Linked DNA regions of Saccharomyces cerevisiae S288C. Changing the gene in region 3 together with the main gene of any one other region gives a genetic interaction. Each region holds a gene or a part of one and is shown on either strand. Other genes may lie near its edges. The genes, in order: OXP1, MRS3, ACO1 and SOD1.

Region 1 (8,090 bases), on a different chromosome or scaffold from region 3:
GTCGTATCCTTCTCAGAAAATAAATTCTTGACAGCTTCCGCCGATAAGACGATTAAACTGTGGCAAAACGATAAAGTGATCAAAACTTTCAGTGGGATTCACAATGATGTAGTAAGACATTTAGCTGTGGTGGATGATGGCCATTTTATCAGTTGTTCAAACGATGGCCTCATCAAGTTGGTTGATATGCATACAGGTGACGTACTAAGAACATATGAAGGCCATGAAAGCTTTGTTTATTGCATTAAACTGCTGCCCAATGGAGATATTGTAAGCTGCGGCGAAGACCGAACAGTCCGTATATGGTCAAAGGAAAATGGTTCGTTAAAGCAGGTAATTACACTTCCTGCCATCTCTATTTGGTCCGTTGATTGTATGTCTAATGGTGATATTATTGTGGGAAGTAGTGATAATCTTGTGAGAATATTTTCGCAAGAGAAGTCAAGATGGGCTTCCGAGGATGAAATAAATGAACTATCTACGCAAGTGGAAAAATCCACTATAAGTTCCAAGACAATAGAATTTGATGAGTCTAAACTATCACCTTATGAAATTTTACAATCGCCGGGGCGCAAAGAGGGTCAAATTGTGGTAGTCAAATCACCTCAAGGTACTATAGAAGCTCATCAATTTTCAAATTCTTCATGGAAAAAGGTTGGTGATGTTGTCGGTGCAGGTGCTACTGGAAACGACAAAAAAATAGAATTCGAGGGTAAAACGTATGACTACGTATTTGATGTGGATATTGAAGATGGAAAACCTCCCTTGAAATTGCCGATTAATGTCAGCGACAACCCATATACAGCAGCCGACAATTTTTTGGCTCGTTATGAACTGCCAATGAGTTATAGGGATCAAGTAGTACAGTTCATACTGAAGAACACTAATGGCATATCGCTAGACCAGCCCAACGATAATGCATCATCTTCTGCAGTATCACCTTCAAAAACGAGCGTAATGAAGGTTCTTCCTGTCAAGCAGTATCTTATCATGGAAAATTATAACCCAGATACTATTTTCAATGGAATAGTAAAAATAAATTCAAATGAGAAGACCTTTGATGATGAAATTCTGGCGCAAATTGGTGGCGCACTACATGACATAGATGAAAGCTGGGAGTTGCTACTTTCATTTGCTAACACTATAAGATCTAACTGGGAAATTAAGACTCCTGCATACGACATAGTACGATTGATTGTAAAAAAATTACCTTATTCTTCAGATATAAAAGATTACATCGAAGAAGGCTTGGGCAATAAGAATATCACTCTAACCATGTTAACTGTGCGTATTTTGGTAAATTGCTTCAATAATGAAAACTGGGGTGTGAAATTACTGGAATCAAATCAAGTTTATAAATCAATTTTTGAGACTATAGATACTGAATTTTCTCAGGCATCTGCTAAACAGTCACAGAATTTGGCTATTGCAGTTTCCACACTAATTTTCAACTATTCAGCTCTCGTCACGAAAGGGAACTCTGATTTAGAACTTTTGCCTATCGTAGCTGACGCCATCAACACCAAGTATGGGCCATTGGAAGAGTATCAAGAATGCGAAGAAGCCGCATATAGGCTAACCGTAGCTTACGGAAATTTGGCTACTGTTGAACCTACATTAAGACAATTTGCCAACTCCGTAACTTGGCTTGCAAACATCAAAAGGAGCTATGGGAACGTGCCAAGGTTTAAGGATATTTTCGACGATCTCTCCTAATACTTTTACAGCAATCATATAAAACACATAATGTCTAGATAGCAAATAATCTTTAAAATTCTTTCTGCCCTATTGAAAATTATGACAAACTATCACGGTCATTTTCTGTCTAACTCGGCAAGAAATTATCATCGTGAAATGAAAAAGGTTACATACAATAAGGTTATTTTGAGTACAGACTGATAAATAGATGGAAAAGACTAAAAAACTGAAACGATAAGCGTCTAGTACCTTTTCCATTAGACGATTCAATACTGCATTTTGCAATGGACAAAGCATTTGACGAAATTATTGGAAATAGTCACACAGACAGCTCATCTAATCATAAGGTAACGAGATACCGCAGAAGGGATTTAAGAAATGAATTAGGACCTAGACTGGGATTTGCGCCTTCGGATGCTGCATCAAGGTCGAAAGATCGCCTTTATAGAGAGAGGGAAGAGCCTCCTTTGCCTAAGAGAATTAGAATATCCAAAATCCCACTAGACGTTTCTGACTACACCCTCGATGATATGATTAAAGAGTTTGGCTCGCCAATATTTTCGAAAATTTTTGACAATAAAGAGGATCGTACATGTATTTACGAATTTGAAGACCCAGAAGTTTTGGAAAAGATTGTCGAGCGTTATAATGGACATGAGTTACATAATGCAAAAATTGAAGTGGAGATTTACCAACCACAGAGAAAGCATTCTAGAATGAATGCCCACAACCGTCGCAAACAGACGGCTCAAGAACACGGAAGAGGCAGGCCAGGGAGCCATTATCGCCAAAAGCCTAACAGAGTCTCCAAAAAGAACAAGGGCCGTGAGAAGAATAACACTCCTACTTCTGTCGAAGCTCTTGACGCTGAATTAGATGCTTACATGAAAGGTTAAGCAATTGTGTATCTACTTATAATTTCTTTATAGTCTTTTCAATGTTTTTTTACTCCATCAGTCTACAGATATGAAACCTCAGTACTACTTTTTACCTAAATAATTAATTTTTATTTCTAGAGGGTAGCAATGATAAACACTTTACCAATCTCTGGAATTAAGAACAAGCGTACTCCGCTCTATTCAGTATTATTTGCATGAATACTTCAACAATTGTTTTGTTTGCCTCAGGTGCTTTTCCGATTGAGCACGATCGCCATAACATTACCACTGAAAAGAAAGATAAGATCAAATGTTACGTGGTGTTGAAGAAAGAATGCCAAAAACTAAGAACTGAACTTAAACAGTAATAATTTTGAGCATTGAAAACCTAAATATAACTTCTTGGTATACAATGCAGAAAGGAAACATAAGAATTGCCATCGATAAGGGTGGAACTTTCACTGATTGTGTGGGGAATATTGGTACAGGTAAACAAGAACATGATACTGTCATCAAGCTCTTGTCGGTGGATCCCAAAAACTATCCAGATGCTCCCCTTGAAGGCATAAGACGTCTCTTGGAGGTGCTTGAACACAAGACAATTCCTCGCGGTATTCCTCTAGACATCTCTAATGTGAGAAGTTTAAGAATGGGGACAACCCTAGCTACAAACTGCGCTCTAGAAAGAAATGGTGAACGTTGTGCCTTCATTACTACGAAAGGCTTTAAGGATTCATTGCTGATTGGAGACCAAACCAGGCCAGATATCTTCAACTTAAATATAAAAAAGGTAGTGCCATTATATGACACTGTAGTTGAAATAGATGAGAGAGTTACTTTAGAAGATTTCTCGGAAGACCCTTATTTTACCAAATCGTCTCCTAATGAACAAGAAGGTATCCTGGAAGGTAATAGTGGCGAAATGGTAAGGGTCATAAAGAAGCCAGATGAATCAAGCGTAAGATCTATTCTGAAAGTGCTTTATGCTAGCGGAATCAAGTCTATTGCGATAGCATTTTTACACTCATACACTTTTCCAGACCATGAGCGAATTGTTGGTAATATTGCCAGGGAGATTGGGTTTTCTCATGTTTCATTATCATCTGAAGTCTCTCCAATGATAAAATTTTTACCGAGGGCTCACAGTTCTGTCGCAGATGCCTACCTTACTCCGGTAATTAAAAAGTACTTGAATAGCATTTCTGCAGGTTTGAGCCACGCAGAAGATACCCACATTCAATTCATGCAGTCTGATGGTGGTTTAGTGGATGGGGGAAAATTTTCCGGTTTGAAATCTATTTTATCTGGTCCTGCAGGTGGCGTAATAGGTTATTCTAGTACATGCTATGATAAAAATAATAACATACCCTTAATAGGCTTTGACATGGGAGGAACATCTACTGATGTCAGTAGGTACGGCGATGGGAGGTTAGAACATGTTTTTGAAACTGTTACCGCAGGGATCATCATACAATCTCCTCAACTTGACATCCATACTGTTGCTGCTGGAGGAAGTTCTATTTTGTCATGGAAAAACGGGTTATTCAGAGTAGGCCCTGATTCAGCAGCTGCTGATCCAGGCCCTGCAGCCTACAGAAAGGGCGGGCCTTTGACCATTACAGACGCCAACCTCTTTTTAGGACGTTTGGTTCCTGAGTTCTTCCCCAAAATTTTTGGGCCCAATGAGGATGAATCACTTGACTTAGAAACCACTACTTTGAAATTCAGAGAATTAACAGATGTCATCAATAAGGATCTGAATTCAAATCTAACCATGGAAGAGGTTGCCTATGGATTTATCAAAGTAGCTAACGAATGCATGGCAAGACCTGTGAGGGCCATTACAGAAGCAAAAGGACATGTAGTATCTCAGCATCGGTTAGTTTCCTTTGGCGGGGCTGGCGGGCAACACGCCATAGCGGTTGCAGATTCATTGGGCATTGACACTGTTTTAATTCATAGATATTCTTCTATCTTGTCCGCTTATGGCATTTTCTTAGCAGATGTTATTGAAGAAAACCAAGAGCCTTGCTCTTTTATCTTGGGTGAGCCAGAGACCATCTTGAAAGTGAAAAAAAGATTCTTAGAACTTTCTAAAAATTCAATCAAAAACCTTTTATCTCAGTCGTTTTCTCGGGAGGACATAGTCTTGGAAAGATATTTAAATCTCAGATATGAAGGTACTGAAACCAGTTTGATGATATTACAAAAATATGATGACCAATGGAATTTTAGGGAATGGTTCTCTGAAGCTCATAAAAAAGAGTTCGGATTCTCATTCGATGACAAACGAATTATAATTGATGATATAAGGATAAGAGCAATTGGGAAATCAGGCGTTAGAAAAGAAAAAACGGTTGATGAGCAATTGATTGAAATTTCCCATTTCAAGAAAGCCGACGTGTCAAAGGATGCTAGTTTTACCCAGAAAGCATATTTTGACAACAAATGGGTCGACACTGCGGTCTTCAAAATTGATGATCTTCCTGCCGGAACAATTATCGAGGGCCCAGCCATATTGGCTGACGGTACCCAAACAAATATTATTTTACCAAACAGCCAAGCAACAATTTTAAACTCTCATATATTTATCAAGATCAACCAAAAGGCTGCGAAGACATTATCTAAAAGCGGATATGAACTTGATATAGATCCAATCTTATTGTCTATTTTCAGTCATAGGTTTATGGATATCGCCCTCCAGATGGGTACTCAATTGAGGAAAACTTCTGTTTCAACTAACGTCAAAGAGAGATTAGATTTTTCATGTGCACTATTCGACTCTAAAGGAAACTTAGTCGCTAACGCTCCTCATGTACCTGTTCACTTAGGATCAATGTCAACCTGCATATCAGCACAGGCGAAGTTATGGGAAGGCAAATTAAAGCCTGGTGATGTTTTAATCACAAACCATCCGGATATTGGTGGTACTCATTTACCAGACATAACAGTAATAACTCCTTCTTTCTCTTCAACTGGCGAATTGATATTTTATGTGGCTTCAAGAGCCCATCATGCAGATATTGGAGGTATTCTACCCGGTTCAGTGCCTCCAAATTCCAAAGAATTGTACGAAGAAGGAACCGCAATTTATTCCGAATTGGTTGTCAAAGAGGGAATTTTCCAGGAAGAATTAATTTACAAGCTTTTCGTAGAAGATCCAGGCAAATACCCAGGCTGCTCAGGTTCAAGAAGATTTAGTGATAACATAAGCGATTTAAAAGCGCAAGTCGCAGCTAACACAAAAGGGATACAGTTAATTGGGTCATTAACTAAGGAATATGATCTGGCTACAATATTGAAATACATGGCTGCAATTCAGACAAATGCATCTGAATCCATAAAAAAAATGCTTGCAAAAATGGTTGAACATTTTGGCACAACGAAGTTTTCTGGCGAAGATCGCTTAGATGATGGAAGCTTAATTAAACTACAAGTTATCATAAGACCTGAAAAAGAGGAGTATATTTTTAATTTCGATGGCACTTCTCCCCAAGTTTATGGTAATTTAAATGCACCAGAGGCTATTACTAATTCTGCGATTCTTTATTGTCTACGGTGTCTAGTAGGCGAAGATATTCCTTTAAATCAAGGTTGTTTAAAACCCTTAACAATAAAAATTCCTGCTGGTTCCCTCTTGAGCCCCCGATCCGGTGCTGCTGTTGTCGGAGGCAATGTATTAACTTCCCAAAGAGTGACAGATGTAATCTTAAAAACATTTAACGTCATGGCAGATTCTCAAGGTGACTGTAACAACTTTACATTTGGAACTGGAGGAAATTCTGGTAACAAAACCGATAAGCAGATCAAAGGCTTTGGATATTATGAAACCATATGTGGCGGCTCGGGGGCTGGTGCAGATTCATGGAGAGGAAGTGGTTGGAATGGCTCAGACGCTGTACACACGAATATGACCAATACAAGAATGACAGATACTGAGGTATTTGAAAGGAGATACCCCGTTCTGTTGAAAGAGTTCTCGATCAGAAGAGGTTCAGGAGGCAAAGGTAAATATACTGGCGGAAATGGCGTAGTAAGGGATGTTCAATTTCGGAAGGCTGTAACAGCATCTATATTATCAGAACGTCGTGTCATTGGCCCTCATGGTATAAAGGGAGGACAAGACGGTAGTAGAGGTGAGAATTTATGGGTAAGACATAGCACAGGCGCATTAATCAATGTCGGCGGTAAAAATACGATTTACGCTCAACCCGGTGATCGATTCATCATTAAAACCCCTGGTGGTGGGGGATTTGGACAATACAAGGATTAAAGCATTTCTTTTTGGTTCTTAGTCAATATCGAATTACACGGAACCATTGGTATACCGTGGATGCGCCAGCCACAAATTGACTTTTACAGAAAGTACAGTTTAATTATATAAGAACAGGCACTTAACAATGTTTCGGAACTCTGTAGATAAAACCAAATTACTCTTTCGAAAAGGCTACATTCTACATCAAAATCACCTGTGCAATATATATATATATATATATATATATATATATGCACATATTCGTTAATTTCTTCACTTTTTTCCCCAAATATTAAACAGATGGCTTCATTTCTTCAACATTATTTTCTGGTTCCTATGCCATTTTTAGCCTACTAATAATTATCGTTGAAAAATGTTTCTTGAATAAGTCTTAATGTAAGGATATATCATATGTTGAGATATAAAAATTTAAGTATAAATGAATCAAGACAATAATTTACATTGATTAAGTTATTTCAAAGTATAAGTATTTAGTATCATCATCTATTAAAGCACATTGAACCCTAATGTATGATGCCAATTGCGAATGCACTCACCGAAAAATTAAGGAATTAGCATTTACCAACTATCCTTGATTTATGCAATTTCAAAATAATAAAATATTCATACGAATCTTAACACTCTTCCATAACTTGTCCCATCATAGTTCTTCAAATTCCGATAATTAAATGCTGTTCAACTTCCCACGGAACTGATCTATGGATGTATAACCCTTAGCTTCCATTATGTCTTTTAATTCTTTTTCGATACGTTCAAAAATCTTGACGCCCTCTTTTTGTAATTCTGTACCAATCTGTAGCATAGAGGCACCACATAGAAGATGTTCAAATGCATCCTTACCGGACTTAATTCCACCTGTACCGATAACTTTGATTTCAGGTCTCAAACGAGTGTAAAATGCACGAACATTGGCGAGCGCGGTTGGCTTAACATATTCACCTCCAATACCCCCGAAACCATTCTTTGGCTTCACTACTACACTCTCCTTCTCCACATCAATGAAAAGACCATTTCCTATACTATTGATAGAGTTGACATAAGCTAATGGGAACTCGTTCAATATTTTTGCCATGATATCAAAATGGGCAAAATCAAAATAAGGAGGCAACTTGACACCAAGAGGTTTTTTGAAAAAGGCAAAAACCTTTTCCAAGGTTTCCTTTGTCAAGTCAAAGTCATAAGCAACTTGTGGTTTCCCAGGCACATTAGGACAAGACAAGTTTAACTCGGTAATACCG
Region 2 (5,081 bases), on a different chromosome or scaffold from region 3:
CATAACTTGGGCTTGACACCACCAAATCAGGAATCTTATCATCATAAAAATTACCTGTTACAGCAAATTGTAACTGATGTGCTTCTTCGGTGGTCTCATCCTTGATTGTCAGTATTTTTACTCCTTTGAAGTAAAAGTCGATTGTACAGGTACCAGGCTGTGAAACGAGTAGGTAGTCAACATCACTTGCCTTGTATGTCCCGACCTTTGAACCGTACATGGCAGTGATGGGTTGTAAAATGCTAAAATCCTCTTTTCTTGCTACAGTTAGAATATCCCATGGAACTATATAGATTGCACCAACTGTGTCTTCAAGTGGTGCACTTACAGCGAGATAATCCTTGTTGTCTTCTCGAAATTTTCCCATAGTCAGGCTTGTGCCAAAATCGGAAAATGATTTCATGGGAGATACGACAATGTGGCTATTTCCCTTACGTGCTTTTAATGAAGAGACCAAAGGTCGTGCATTTATCCGTTTTTGTGATACTGGCGGTAAATTAGCACATAATCTCAGTTCTTCTGCTTGAGCTTCATTAGTATTCTCGTCATGAAACAAAGTCTCGAAGAAAGGCACGCATCTTTGGAGCATTGCAACCAAATTGGACTGCCCTCCTAGCCAATGATTCAGTATTAGATCATTAGCCCTGGGGGATGTTGAGTAAATATTAGTTAACAATTGGTTTCTTTGAGAGCGGAATAGGTACCCTTCACTAATAGCCGCTGCCATTCCTCTTTTAACGCAAAATTCCAGTTCTGCGTAGGACAACTTTTCCTTTGAAAGTCCAGCGTTCCTTATAATTTCCATTAAATCCTCTTCTCTGGGCAATTTCCAATCAGAGCGAGTTAAAAAATCCCAATTTTCGTTATTATTACTGTCACGGATTACATTATTTAAGGTGAGGAATTCACCCATAACGTCTAAAAACGTATGAGCAGTTTCAATATCTCCATCAAATTCTGTTTCGCTGAGAACTCGGAGTAGTCCGTGCATTCTATAATCGGTAACTAACGAATGCCAGGAAACATCAACTATCTGATGAGTGAATACCCCTATTAAAAATGACTTTAGTGCGAGTGAGCCGTGAGTTCCCCGAAGTCGATCGTTCTGACCATACTTTTGCTGCCAATAAGATACTGCAATCATTAAGAAATTGGGCCAATGAGTGAATTCTGCAAAATCAGACCAATCCTTATTTGAAGGTGCACATGAGTACAAAGCATCCGGAAAGAAAGAACCAGCTTTCAACCAAGGATAATAGTTTTCCTTTAAACTTAAGGGAGCACCTCTTGTTAAATAAAATAGATGGGTAGTAACTCCAGCAGCTTGCAATTTTGTTACAATAGAAGTAGTTAAGCAAATAATAGAGACAAGTAACCAAGAACTAATTATACTCATCTTTATTTAATTCCCTCTGAATACATGTTTCTAACTAACTAACCAAGGAGGGCGCTTGAATGAATCTTTTTTTTTTTTAGAAATAGATTTACCACTCTTAGAGTTTCCGCTATAAATAATGGCAGCTTGCCTGCGTCCGAAATACCCTTTGGGTATACTAAACATAGATATATAAAGTAATGAAGAAAAAATGAAAACTTTTCGTTGAGGGAAAGAGCTCAAGCTTTGGGATTATCAAATTAAATTTGTATATATAAATGTACATAAAGTCACAACAGGAAAATGATAATATACACATAATCTTCTGAGATGCAAAATGAATGGAAAATAATATGACATGTAAGAACCAACTAATACGTCATTAGGAAATGTTTTGCACATTCATAAGCTGTCCATGATATAGCAGTAGCCGGCATGTTTGCCACTATCCTTGGTTTCCAACCTCTCCAAAACCCTTTCCAGCCATAAACTTGATATATGGCACTGGCTGCTTTACTAAAAGTATCCGCCTTTCTCATAATTTCCAACGAAACTGTTTGACTGCCCCTTATCTGCAGTACTGTCTTTATGCAGTCTAAAGGTGTTGTGATCGCCGCACATGTCGATCCGCTGATACTGCCACACAGACAATGTATGAGGGGGTTGTACTCATTTGATGGGTTTAAAAATTTTGTGGATGATTCATATATGACGAAATTAAATGCTGCAAATGGGATGTTCATTACTAGGGTGGTTGGGTAAGAATAATAAAATGCTGCCAAACCTTCAGATTGGTAAATCTGCTTTGTGGTTTGCCATACTGATGCCGAGGTATTGAGTTGGATTCTCTGTTTTATTGTGTCGAATGGGTTCATTAATGCGTCAGATGCCGTGGTGGCACAGGCACCACTGATAGCTGTCTTAAAAGGATGGTGCGTTTGCGTATCACTCGAATCGATAAGATTTTTTTTGCAGAACTCATACGTACCAAAATACACTGCATGCGCAGGTCCCGCACCTAGTATGACAGACTGAACACCCTTCCATAGGGCTAGAGTTCCTTCGGAAGTAGAGATGTGAGATATTTGCGAAAGCATATTCTTGGCAGACAGCGATTTCGCGTTGGCTGATTGTATTCGCGTCTTAAGGGCATCTATCGGGAACATCACTGAATGTTCCATTATACCAGCAAATGCACCCGCTATAAGTTGATGGTACAATGGCGCGTGGGTGGGGAGCGCCTCATAATCGGGTAGATCCATAGGTATTGCTGGAATTGGCCTTGTTGAATTATTACTCGACGAGTTTTCTACCATAATATCTTCTTTTTTTATAACATAAATATATTTACAGCAAACCTTAAGAGGTGTTAACGAATATGGGAATCGTGATTAATTAAGTGAAGTTACGATCCCAAGATAAAATAAGGAAGTTGTTGAAAGAGGAAAGAATCGATGAAGAAATGAACGACAAAATTACTTTTGTCAATTGTAGGGTACGAAACACCAAGAAATGCAATAAGTGCTATGTAAAGGTGATCCAGTCTTGGTTAGCACACACGCCCAGTTTCTCGAGAGACATAATGACAGTAAACGGTGAGTATAAAAAAAAAGCAAAAAAAAAAGAAAAAAGGAGCAATCGTTCGTTACAAACGATCTAGACTTGATGAAAAAAAACCCTAAAATGTCTCAGACCTAAAACAAAACCCTAAGAAGCACGTGATACAAACCTGTCACGTGCAACATTATGGGGTATGGGTGTGTCACACATTTGAAAAAAAGTGGGCGGAACGTGTGTGGGGGGGTGTCATGCCATTTCCACATTTGGTTGCTCTGGAGATAAGATCCACGAATGAAGGTGAGGGGCATGACTTCAGGGATCAATTTCCCGCCCGCAAGTTAGTTTTTCCGGTGGGAGCCGAGCATCAAGCATGACCACTTCCTGGTGCAGAGAGAAAGTTTCACACATATAAAAGAATAAACCGAAAGTAATGTAGGGAGATGTTTAATGTGATTTTTCACCTTTGTTTTAATGATTACGCACAAGTTTAAATATTACATTCATAAGACAGTAAATAAACGTATTAAATGATCGCCCAAAGTACCAGATTAGCCGCCGCCGTCTCTTCTTCAGCCGCCTCCGCGGGTGTCTCAAGGATAGCCGCTAGCGCCATGGCCAGCACTATTTTCAAGAGATCTCCGGGCAACTCGTTCAACTCTTTTAAGGAATATAGAGAAAATGCCAAGACATATGGTCCCTTGAGTGCCTCACTAGCTACCAGAAGACACTTGGCTCACGCGCCAAAGTTGTAGGCGTATCTTAATTATGCTCTTTTCTTTCCTGGTTTATTAATGATGATGACTTTAACCTATTCTTCTTTTGGGGTCCTGGTACGGTGCCTCAAATTTTTATACAACATGACTTTTTCAGTTACATATTTTTTTATAAGTACTTAATTTAGAAACGGATACATTTACACTACATTTTGTCTATTTTTTTTTTTTTGTTCCTTTTGTTTTATGCTATATTTAAGAGGGAAAATAGGACGGGGCTGCACATTACAACGGTGAATGGAACGCCAGCATAGATAATAAATCTACCTAGAATGTCAATCTTGGGCTCTCCAATATATAATGGACATTCGTACTTGCTTGCACCTTCTTTGTGCGTGGCCTCCAGTCTTTTTCTTGCCGCAACGTTTCTGTCATCCTTCAGATGGAAAACTTTGATCAATAACGTGTAGATCATCGGTTTGCTGATCACGTACTTCCAGATAACAACGCACGGTAGGCCCACCAGCAGCCTGGCTAAGGTTAACCGCCAGCCACAGTTAGGTTCCAAATTGTACACCAGGGTGACTCCAAACACTTTGCCCAACCAATCACAGCATTCAATACCTGACACAACGCCCATGAACGCAACACTATCTTGGAAGCAAGGACATTCGTCTACGGGCTTAACATGTTTAAACAAAAGAAGAAGACCCCATCCCACACTAAACAAAGGAAACCACCAATGCTCCTCAATGCGTAAACCCGGAAACCTGTACTTGAAATACATCCTAACAATGAAACACACTATTCCAATGAGCCCACCGCTTACTAAATCTAATATGCCATGCATCCCACAGTATATTCTACCGAAAACCAAAGTCATATAATAAAATAAAACCACACATGACAACAATAGTTGGACCATGACAGAAGATTCTTGCATCCTCCAGATGTTGTAGAGAAACAAGAGACTCACTCCTGTTGCATTTGCTGTATGGGAGCTTGGAGCACCATATTCCTTCGTTGTATATTCACTTAACGTAATTCGATGTAATGGAGGTGCTCTAGGCCTGGGCAAGCACCAGTAATCTTTAAAAAAACCACTCAAGTAGATAGAATATCCCAAGATATAAACCATATCTTTTGTTGTTTCAAAATATCCAAACCACACGGGCATAGGTAAACACAGAACATAGAAGGTATGCGATCCCATTAAGGAAGTATAAGTAAAGTAGAGATCATTAAACGCAGAACGGTACTTCTTTTGCCAGCGGCTTAATGTGAATGATTGATTGTTGGTAAACACTAACAGCTTCTCTCTAATATTAAACCGAAATTTGGACATTCGAGTTCGAAAATGATCTGAGGGATGATTACCGGGATCCAGCAAGTAATTAGGCTCTTGAAAGTCATTGGGGTTAGAGAGAGTCCTG
Region 3 (6,653 bases):
CAAGGCTTACTTATTATGGTCCAGAGAAACCTAACACGATTTCTGGATTTATATCTTTACATTCTTGGAGGTCAAAATATCTTTTCGATACCGCTATTACATCATCACCAGAGGATATCAAAAGGCAAATAGGTATTTCCACTCAAAACATAAGAAAAAATTTGACCTTAGGAAATAAGATTATAACTAAAGACGTAACTGATTTTCTTGATATGGCTACCGCGTTGTTAATTCTTGGCAATGGTGCACCAGCGTCATTGATATATGATATTGTGCACATCCCGTTCGAAGTCTTCACCTCTGCATCTTTAAAGATTGCTACAAACGTATGGTTAACAATCATAACTGAGAAGCCCGAAGTTGCACATTTGCTTTTAGTTGAAGTATGCTATTGCTGGATGCGCTCCATTGATGACAATATTGGTCTCTATTCTCGCGATCATGACTTAAAGGGCGAAGAATACCAAAAAATGGAATATTCCCCTTACGACAAAGCAGGTATCAACAGAGATGCAAAAAATGCATCCCAAGCTATGCAACCACATCTTCATGTTATTAAATTTTTTGCTTCCCATTTCGAGGGCACACTATTTCAAAGTGACTTTTTATTGAAAATTTTCACGAAATGTGCGCTTTATGGTATCAAGAATCTGTATAAGGCTTCACTACACCCGTTCGCTAGAATGATTCGCCACGAATTATTGTTATTCGCGACTCTCGTACTAAACGCAAGTTATAAGCAGGGATCCAAGTATATGGGCCGTTTGTCGCAAGAAATCACAAACGGTGCCCTAAGTTGGTTTAAAAGACCAGTAGCGTGGCCATTCGGCTCAAATGAGCTGAAAATCAAAGCAGATTTATCTGTTACTAGGGACCTTTTCCTTCAGCTCAACAAATTAAGCTCGCTAATGTCACGTCATTGCGGGAAAGATTACAAGATCCTGAACTATTTCTTGGCAAGCGAAATCCAGCAGATTCAAACCTGGCTTACTCCGACTGAGAAGATTGAAGGAGCCGACAGCAACGAGCTTACAAGCGATATCGTTGAAGCTACCTTTGCTAAAGATCCAACATTAGCAATAAATCTCTTACAACGATGTTATAGCAAGAAAGCTGAGGATGTTTTAGTGGGCTTAGTTGCAAAACATGCTTTAATGTGTGTGGGGTCCCCAAGTGCTCTTGACCTGTTCATAAAAGGAAGCCACCTGAGCAGTAAGAAAGACCTACACGCAACCTTATACTGGGCGCCAGTGAGCCCGTTAAAATCTATCAACCTTTTCCTTCCCGAATGGCAAGGTAATTCTTTTATCTTACAATTCAGCATATATTCGTTGGAATCACAAGATGTGAACTTGGCATTCTTCTATGTTCCTCAAATCGTACAATGTTTGAGATACGATAAAACCGGATATGTCGAAAGATTGATTTTGGATACTGCGAAAATTAGTGTGTTATTTTCTCATCAAATAATCTGGAATATGCTTGCAAACTGCTACAAGGATGATGAAGGTATACAAGAAGATGAAATCAAACCAACTCTAGATCGTATTAGGGAGCGTATGGTTTCAAGTTTCAGCCAATCTCATCGCGATTTTTACGAACGTGAATTTGAATTCTTCGACGAAGTAACTGGCATATCTGGTAAGTTGAAACCATACATAAAAAAAAGTAAGGCTGAAAAGAAACATAAGATCGATGAAGAAATGAGCAAAATTGAGGTGAAACCTGATGTTTATTTACCTTCTAATCCTGACGGTGTAGTTATTGATATTGATCGGAAGAGTGGTAAGCCACTTCAATCTCACGCAAAGGCGCCTTTTATGGCGACCTTTAAAATAAAGAAAGACGTAAAAGATCCTTTGACAGGTAAAAACAAGGAAGTTGAAAAATGGCAAGCTGCTATCTTCAAAGTCGGTGATGACTGTAGGCAAGATGTTCTAGCGTTACAATTGATCTCGCTATTTAGAACCATTTGGTCTAGTATTGGCTTGGATGTCTACGTTTTTCCCTACAGAGTTACTGCGACGGCACCGGGTTGTGGTGTCATCGATGTGCTACCCAATTCGGTATCCCGTGATATGTTAGGACGTGAAGCTGTTAATGGATTATATGAATATTTCACTAGTAAATTTGGTAATGAATCTACTATCGAATTTCAAAACGCACGAAACAACTTTGTTAAATCCTTAGCGGGATATAGCGTAATTTCGTATTTGTTGCAATTCAAGGATAGACATAATGGTAACATTATGTACGATGATCAAGGACATTGTCTACATATCGATTTTGGGTTTATTTTTGATATTGTCCCAGGTGGTATCAAGTTTGAAGCAGTACCATTCAAGCTGACGAAAGAAATGGTTAAAGTGATGGGAGGTTCGCCCCAGACCCCAGCGTATCTGGACTTTGAAGAACTTTGTATCAAGGCATATCTAGCCGCCCGTCCGCACGTGGAGGCCATAATTGAGTGTGTAAATCCTATGTTAGGAAGCGGTCTCCCCTGCTTTAAGGGTCACAAGACAATTAGGAATCTAAGAGCAAGATTTCAACCTCAAAAAACCGATCACGAAGCTGCACTATATATGAAGGCGCTAATCCGTAAAAGTTATGAAAGTATATTCACTAAAGGTTATGATGAATTCCAAAGGCTCACAAATGGCATTCCGTACTGATATACTTCGCACTTTACATATGCTTATATAAAAATACCAGTTTCCCATCGTCAATTACGCAGACGTAGCCTTCGTTTATTTTCTCTCTTTTTGTATATCATTGTATTAATCATAATCCATTGTATTTTACTTTGTCTTATCTGGCTTTAATGAATGACGCCGGTCACACGCGGGTGCCTGATTCTCGATTGTGCCAAGCCATTTGGGCACGGTGTCAAATTACCTAAAAAATGGCCGAGAGCCGCAAAAGGGAGGTCCGCGGGGCCGGGCAATACCCTTTGTTTTTCGAGCATTTCGGCGCCGAAATCGGCAAAGGTCCTGACCAATCAATAGAGAAATTAGTGCATACGAGAAAAATTTGAACCCTTCAGTTGTTCTCCGCAGGCGACTTTAACCATCAAACCTCCAATCGCTGCCGGTTTTCGGAAAGGCAAGCACAAAAAGGGAGGACAAGGAAAATCTTTTGTTATATATATAATCTTCCGGTTTTAGAGGTTAATTAGGAGGAGTATGTTGCTTAATTCCGTTGTCCCTTGTTCTGTTCACTCTTTCTTAGTTATTACATAGTAGAACGAAGGTAATAAATACTACCATTATTACTATAGATATACAATGCTGTCTGCACGTTCTGCCATCAAGAGACCCATTGTTCGTGGTCTTGCGACAGTCTCCAACTTGACTAGAGATTCAAAAGTCAACCAAAACTTATTAGAAGATCATTCTTTTATTAACTACAAGCAGAATGTGGAAACGCTGGATATCGTAAGAAAAAGATTAAACAGGCCATTTACCTACGCGGAAAAGATTTTGTACGGTCACTTGGATGACCCTCATGGTCAAGATATTCAGAGAGGTGTTTCATACCTAAAATTAAGACCAGATCGTGTTGCCTGTCAAGATGCTACTGCTCAAATGGCTATTTTACAATTTATGTCCGCTGGTTTACCACAGGTTGCTAAGCCAGTCACTGTCCACTGTGACCATTTGATTCAAGCACAAGTTGGTGGTGAAAAAGATTTGAAGAGAGCTATAGATCTAAACAAGGAAGTTTATGATTTCTTGGCCTCTGCCACTGCGAAATATAACATGGGTTTCTGGAAGCCAGGTTCCGGTATCATTCACCAAATTGTTCTGGAAAACTACGCTTTCCCAGGTGCTTTGATCATTGGTACTGACTCCCATACACCAAATGCTGGTGGTTTAGGTCAATTGGCTATTGGTGTTGGTGGTGCTGATGCCGTTGATGTTATGGCAGGTCGTCCATGGGAATTGAAGGCTCCAAAGATCTTAGGTGTTAAGTTGACTGGTAAGATGAACGGTTGGACTTCTCCAAAGGATATTATTTTGAAATTGGCTGGTATCACAACTGTCAAAGGTGGTACTGGTAAAATTGTTGAATATTTCGGTGATGGTGTTGACACCTTCTCCGCTACTGGTATGGGTACCATTTGTAATATGGGTGCTGAAATCGGTGCTACCACATCTGTTTTCCCATTCAACAAATCTATGATTGAATATTTGGAAGCAACTGGTCGTGGTAAGATCGCTGACTTTGCTAAATTATACCACAAGGACCTATTATCTGCTGATAAGGATGCTGAATACGATGAGGTCGTCGAAATTGACTTGAACACTCTGGAACCATACATCAATGGGCCATTTACCCCCGATTTGGCTACTCCAGTTTCTAAGATGAAGGAAGTTGCTGTTGCTAATAACTGGCCATTGGATGTCAGAGTCGGTTTGATCGGTTCTTGTACCAATTCCTCTTATGAAGATATGTCTCGTTCAGCATCCATTGTCAAGGATGCTGCTGCTCATGGTTTGAAATCCAAGACCATTTTCACTGTTACTCCAGGTTCTGAACAAATCAGAGCCACTATTGAACGTGATGGCCAATTAGAAACCTTCAAAGAATTTGGTGGTATCGTTTTGGCAAACGCCTGTGGCCCATGTATTGGTCAATGGGATCGTAGAGATATCAAGAAAGGTGACAAGAATACTATCGTTTCCTCTTACAACAGAAATTTCACTTCTAGAAATGATGGTAACCCACAAACTCATGCTTTTGTTGCATCTCCAGAATTAGTAACTGCGTTCGCCATTGCGGGTGATTTGAGATTCAACCCTCTAACAGACAAATTAAAGGACAAGGATGGTAATGAGTTCATGTTGAAACCACCACATGGTGATGGTTTGCCTCAAAGAGGTTATGATGCTGGTGAGAACACTTACCAAGCTCCACCTGCAGACCGTAGCACCGTTGAAGTTAAAGTTTCTCCAACTTCAGACCGTCTACAACTGTTGAAACCATTCAAACCTTGGGATGGTAAGGATGCTAAAGACATGCCAATCTTGATTAAGGCCGTCGGTAAGACAACTACTGATCATATTTCTATGGCTGGTCCATGGTTGAAATACAGAGGTCATTTAGAAAACATTTCTAATAACTATATGATTGGTGCTATTAATGCTGAAAACAAGAAGGCTAACTGTGTTAAAAATGTATATACTGGTGAATACAAAGGTGTTCCAGACACTGCTAGAGATTACAGAGACCAAGGTATCAAGTGGGTTGTTATTGGTGATGAAAACTTTGGTGAAGGTTCCTCTCGTGAACACGCTGCTTTGGAACCAAGATTCTTGGGCGGTTTCGCTATCATCACAAAGTCTTTCGCTCGTATCCATGAAACTAACTTGAAAAAACAAGGTCTATTGCCATTGAACTTCAAGAACCCAGCTGACTATGACAAGATCAACCCTGATGACAGAATCGATATTCTGGGTCTAGCTGAATTGGCTCCAGGTAAGCCTGTAACAATGAGAGTTCATCCAAAGAATGGTAAGCCATGGGATGCTGTGTTGACCCATACTTTCAACGATGAGCAAATTGAATGGTTCAAATATGGTTCTGCCTTAAATAAAATTAAGGCCGATGAGAAGAAATAATGAAAACATTGTTATAATCTTTTAAAGGTTATTATTTATTTTGTCTTCTGTACACCGTACCCTTGTTTATCTTTTCTGCCTTAAATTTAATGACGTTCGGCTGGAGAAGTCAAGACTATGAAATATATCTCGTAATTTATGATCGTATATTATTTATTTATTGATTGTTTTATTGTTTATTTATTTATTTAAGTACCCCTATTGTACGTACATAAAAAAGCAAAACTTTTATATTATATTGTTGCTGATTATGTACTCAGTTTAACGAGGATTAAAAAAAAAAAAAAATTAAGTAATAAGTGCACCGTCTGTCAGACGGTCGAATTTAAAAATAAATGGTCTCTAGCGGGATCGAACCGCTGATCCCCGCGTTATTAGCACGGTGCCTTAACCAACTGGGCCAAGAGACCAAACTTTGTTGAATGTTGAGCAAGTTAACATCTTATAGGACATATTAAACTATGACGACATTGTTGCAAATAAAACACTATTGATTGCTTAAAAGGGCAATCCGACTATATCTGAGACGAACAAAGACACTGTTGGAATAAAAATCCACTATTGTCTATCAACTAATACTTATACTATCAATATATTATAATAGACGGCGTTAGATGATGACATAAGTTATGAGAAGATGTCATCGAGGTTAGAGGAAGCTGAAGTGCAAGGATTGATAATGTAGTAAGAATGTGAATATATCACATAGAATCACCAATTCCATTTTATGGATTCCTATACCACGAGGAGAACTAGTATGTCCTGGCTATCTAATATTATGGCCTCTAGCAGCAACGAAATGCCAACAATTAAATCCAAGTTCACCTATTCTGACTTTTATATTTAATAACTAACATTTTTATCAACGATGGAATTCCAACAGCTTTACTAATCTTTACTTGTAATTTGGCTTTTTAGATCTATAATATTTATTGTATGGAAAGTAGCATCCAACCAAATCCCGCGAAGTTTTCCTGATTTACATAACAAGCAAATACTAAAAACGTTAACACACATGTGCTTCTTTATTGT
Region 4 (4,508 bases), on a different chromosome or scaffold from region 3:
CGGACTTGGATCTCGGTAATTACGAGCGGTACCTCGGTATTACCTTAAGCAGGGACCACAACATCACCACCGGTAAGATATACTCCCACGTAATTTCCAGAGAAAGGAGAGGTGATTATTTAGGTAAGACAGTTCAAATTGTTCCTCATTTGACTAACGCAATTCAGGATTGGATTCAACGTGTTTCAAAAATTCCAGTGGATGACACAGGATTAGAACCAGACGTCTGTATCATCGAGTTAGGTGGTACGGTCGGTGACATTGAGAGTGCGCCCTTCGTGGAAGCATTACGACAATTTCAGTTCGAAGTTGGAAGAGAGAATTTCGCCCTGATCCATGTTTCACTTGTGCCCGTCATTCATGGTGAACAGAAGACGAAACCCACCCAAGCAGCAATCAAAGATTTAAGGTCATTAGGGCTTATTCCCGATATGATTGCCTGCAGATGCAGCGAAGAACTTAACAGGAGCACTATTGACAAGATTGCCATGTTTTGCCATGTGGGGCCGGAGCAAGTGGTCAACGTTCATGATGTTAACTCCACGTACCACGTTCCCTTATTGCTGCTAAAGCAACATATGATCGACTACCTCCATTCAAGGTTGAAATTAGGTGAAGTGCCTCTAACCTTGGAAGACAAGGAAAGAGGGTCTCAATTATTGACTAACTGGGAAAACATGACCAAAAACCTAGATGATTCTGATGATGTTGTCAAGATTGCTCTTGTGGGAAAATACACTAATTTGAAGGATTCCTACCTATCTGTGACCAAATCCTTAGAACACGCAAGCATGAAGTGCCGTCGTCAGCTAGAAATCCTCTGGGTAGAGGCAAGTAACCTAGAGCCCGAAACTCAAGAGGTGGACAAGAACAAGTTCCACGATTCATGGAATAAGCTCAGTTCCGCCGACGGAATTTTGGTTCCTGGTGGATTTGGCACGAGAGGTATTGAAGGTATGATTCTTGCTGCCAAATGGGCCCGTGAATCCGGTGTTCCCTTTCTTGGTGTCTGTCTTGGATTACAAGTTGCCGCTATCGAGTTCGCCCGCAATGTGATAGGCCGCCCAAACAGCAGTTCTACAGAATTTTTGGACGAGACACTACTAGCTCCTGAAGACCAAGTAGTCATATACATGCCCGAGATCGACAAGGAACACATGGGTGGCACGATGAGATTGGGTTTGAGGCCTACCATTTTCCAACCGAACTCAGAATGGAGCAACATAAGGAAGCTTTATGGTGAAGTTAATGAGGTGCATGAGAGACATCGTCATCGCTATGAGATAAACCCGAAAATAGTGAATGATATGGAGTCTCGTGGCTTTATTTTTGTTGGTAAGGACGAGACGGGCCAGCGTTGCGAAATATTCGAATTGAAAGGCCATCCATACTACGTGGGCACTCAATACCATCCAGAGTATACATCGAAGGTGCTGGAACCATCAAGACCGTTTTGGGGGCTTGTGGCCGCAGCCTCCGGCACACTTGGTGAAGTGATCAAGGACATAAATCTAAGCGAGGGAAATGAAAATGAATGAATTGATGCGCTTACTACTTACTTACATACGGTTTTTATTCAAGTATATTATCATTAACATTAGTTGGTTAGACCAATGACACCACAGGCTGGTCTTGGACCGGCATTACCAGTCTTCAAAGATTCTTCAGTGTCACCCTTACCTAAGTCATCTTGGCCGGCGTGGATAACGACGCTTCTGCCTACAACGGAGGTAGGACCGATAAGCTTGATCAAAGAGTCCTTGAAGGAGCCCTTGGCCACACCATTTTCGTCCGTCTTTACGTTACCCATGTCACCGACATGTCTGACTTCGTCAGTTGGAGCACCATGTGTCTTCTTGAAAGGATTGAAGTGAGGACCAGCAGAGACACAACCATTGGTGGCATCTCCAAACTCATGAATGTGGAACCCACGTTCTGCGTTAGGACTGTTACCAGCGATCTCGTAAGAGACAGTGGTTGGCTCGGATTCGGAAGCCTGTTCGAACTTGACAACACCAGAGACACCGGCATCACCCTTTAACACTGCGACTGCTTGAACCATTATAAATTAATTATGTTTTATTTGTTTGCGCGATTGCTTTCTTGCCTGTTTTTCCGCAACATAGTTACAGCTAAACATTTGCCCAAAACCATCTTCTTATATATATATCTGCGATGGCGAGCCCAGCGGAAGGGATGTCCGCTTACTAATTCCGACACACCGGTTTAACCCCCCGGCGTGCTGGGGTGGGTGCCCCTAAGGGAGCGGGTTCTGTACTTCCAGTAAGCGGCATTTGCGCTGTCATCGCCTTATCGAACCCGCTACTGAGATCATGTCCTGAGTGGGTGAGTCGCACGCCCAATCGGCTGCACTTCAGAGATACTTACGTCCAATTTCGCATCATGCCAATATTACCTGTGGAAGTTGAAACTTTTTTTGCAGATGCCGATAATTTTCACATGGATGAGTCGCAGTGTCGTCGTACGTGATGAGGGCAGGCTTGAAAATTATTCTTCGAGCCCAATTCTCTTTACTTATAGGCATGCCATGTCTAATTAGGTAGTCATCTCAGTTTATCTTGTGCAGGGTAGAACCAAAGATAACAGCAAAAGAAAGAGCAAGCAATTATGACCGCACCATTGGTAGTATTGGGTAACCCACTTTTAGATTTCCAAGCCGACGTCACGGCTGAATACCTGGCCAAGTATTCTCTAAAGGAAAACGACGCAATTTTGGTCGATGCCAAATCAGGCGATGCTAAGATGGCTATTTTTGACGAGCTCTTACAGATGCCAGAAACAAAGCTTGTTGCAGGTGGTGCTGCTCAAAACACTGCTAGAGGGGCAGCATACGTTTTGGGCGCCGGCCAGGTGGTGTACTTCGGTTCCGTCGGTAAGGACAAGTTCAGCGAGAGATTGCTTAACGAAAACGAAAAAGCTGGTGTCAAGTCTATGTACCAAGTTCAAAATGATATTGGTACCGGTAAGTGTGCCGCATTAATCACTGGCCATAACCGGTCCTTGGTCACTGACTTGGGTGCTGCCAATTTCTTTACTCCAGACCACTTGGACAAGCATTGGGACTTGGTCGAAGCAGCTAAGCTCTTCTACATCGGTGGTTTCCACTTGACCGTGTCTCCAGACGCTATCGTTAAGTTGGGCCAACATGCTAAAGAGAACAGCAAACCTTTCGTGTTGAACTTTAGTGCTCCTTTCATTCCTCATGTCTTCAAAGACGCATTGGCCAGAGTTTTGCCTTATGCTACCGTCATCATCGCTAACGAATCGGAGGCCGAAGCCTTTTGCGACGCCTTCCAATTAGACTGTGCCAACACTGATTTGGAAGCTATTGCTCAAAGAATTGTCAAGGACTCTCCAGTTGAAAAGACTGTCATCTTCACCCACGGTGTCGAACCAACAGTGGTCGTGTCCTCCAAGGGTACCAGCACATATCCAGTCAAACCTTTGGACTCTTCTAAGATCGTCGACACCAACGGTGCTGGTGACGCCTTCGCTGGTGGCTTTATGGCTGGGTTGACTAAAGGTGAAGATTTGGAAACCTCTATTGACATGGGTCAATGGCTAGCTGCTTTGTCTATTCAAGAAGTTGGTCCCTCTTACCCTTCCGAAAAAATATCTTACTCTAAATAGATTCTTCTTACAATATAATAGAAATAAAATATACTCTACGTGTTCCCTCTAGCTTTTCATTCGTAGACATGTTTACCGCTTGTTCTTAAACCAAATAAGCCACCGTTACCACAATAAGGAAAAGAGGCGCTATAAAGTACAGCTTCAAGAAAAAAGGACAAGCAGCGCTAAGAACAAAATACTCGTTCATCCTCTCCACATACGGCCGTACACAAGCAACAATAACACAATAATATGGACTGGGCAATCAATGTCGCCCATCCACGATTACTTTACAAGGATCCTAAACTTTCAGTAACGTTTATTGTGCCGAGCTTATTTCATATCATTATTGCTTTCGTGTTATTAGGAATATGTGCATCCGATTTTCTTTGCCCCAACGTGGCCCATATATCAGATCCCAACAGCCTTCGATCGAATGGTTCTTTAGTCTCAAAAACGGCGTCCCATGCATCTCATACTGGGGCATTAATGGCAGTTCTACTATCTTGGTGTAACTCTTCGCCTGACCTATTTTCCAACTTAATGAGCTGGGCAACCTCTACGAGAGAAACAAGGTCAACCTCAGTATCGCTATCAATTGGTGAGGTGCTTGGCGCTTGCGGCATTATCCTGTGCATTGTAGAGGGCTCCATTTTTATTATTATGTCAAGAACTCACATTGAAATCTCGCAAATTCAAAAACTATCCATCATGAGAGACTTGTTATTTTCTTTAGCTGCCATGTGCGTAATGAGTTACGTTTCCCTTATGAATCAGGTCACTGTGCTGAATTGCCTTTTGATGGCGTTCCTTTATGCCTTTTATCTAGTCGTTAAGTTAACTTTCAAGCTTAATCATTCTGCAGAAACCCCAGA

What was found.
Region 1: of ACO1 (region 3) and OXP1, extra expression of one rescues a mutant of the other (dosage rescue), as found in Saccharomyces cerevisiae (one study listed by BioGRID).
Region 2: of ACO1 (region 3) and MRS3, changing one suppresses a phenotype caused by changing the other (phenotypic suppression), as found in Saccharomyces cerevisiae (one study listed by BioGRID).
Region 4: of ACO1 (region 3) and SOD1, changing one suppresses a phenotype caused by changing the other (phenotypic suppression), as found in Saccharomyces cerevisiae (one study listed by BioGRID).

Annotation. Positions count from the first base shown.
Region 1 is NC_001143.9:25,586-33,675, reverse strand, and holds OXP1 (5-oxoprolinase), read left to right. Parts: upstream 1-2,988; coding exon 2,989-6,849; downstream 6,850-8,090. Other genes in the region: DOA1 (Doa1p), read left to right, coding at 1-1,716; YRA2 (Yra2p), read left to right, coding at 1,983-2,594; URA1 (dihydroorotate dehydrogenase), read right to left, coding at 7,517-8,090. UniProt on the Saccharomyces cerevisiae protein: Catalyzes the cleavage of 5-oxo-L-proline to form L-glutamate coupled to the hydrolysis of ATP to ADP and inorganic phosphate.
Region 2 is NC_001142.9:158,229-163,309, reverse strand, and holds MRS3 (Fe(2+) transporter), read right to left. Parts: upstream 2,692-5,081; coding exon 1,747-2,691; downstream 1-1,746. Other genes in the region: YJL132W (uncharacterized protein), read right to left, coding at 1-1,396; DPI8 (Dpi8p), read left to right, coding at 3,463-3,687; sphinganine kinase LCB3, read right to left, coding at 3,893-5,081. UniProt on the Saccharomyces cerevisiae protein: MRS3 suppresses a mitochondrial splice defect in the first intron of the COB gene. It may act as a carrier, exerting its suppressor activity via modulation of solute concentrations in the mitochondrion (possibly of cations).
Region 3 is NC_001144.5:734,180-740,832, reverse strand, and holds ACO1 (aconitate hydratase ACO1), read left to right. Parts: upstream 1-3,284; coding exon 3,285-5,621; downstream 5,622-6,653. Other genes in the region: 1-phosphatidylinositol 4-kinase STT4, read left to right, coding at 1-2,672. UniProt on the Saccharomyces cerevisiae protein: Catalyzes the isomerization of citrate to isocitrate via cis-aconitate, a step in the citric acid cycle.
Region 4 is NC_001142.9:620,953-625,460, forward strand, and holds SOD1 (superoxide dismutase SOD1), read right to left. Parts: upstream 2,063-4,508; coding exon 1,598-2,062; downstream 1-1,597. Other genes in the region: CTP synthase URA8, read left to right, coding at 1-1,538; ADO1 (adenosine kinase), read left to right, coding at 2,629-3,651; ECM27 (Ecm27p), read left to right, coding at 3,886-4,508. UniProt on the Saccharomyces cerevisiae protein: Destroys radicals which are normally produced within the cells and which are toxic to biological systems.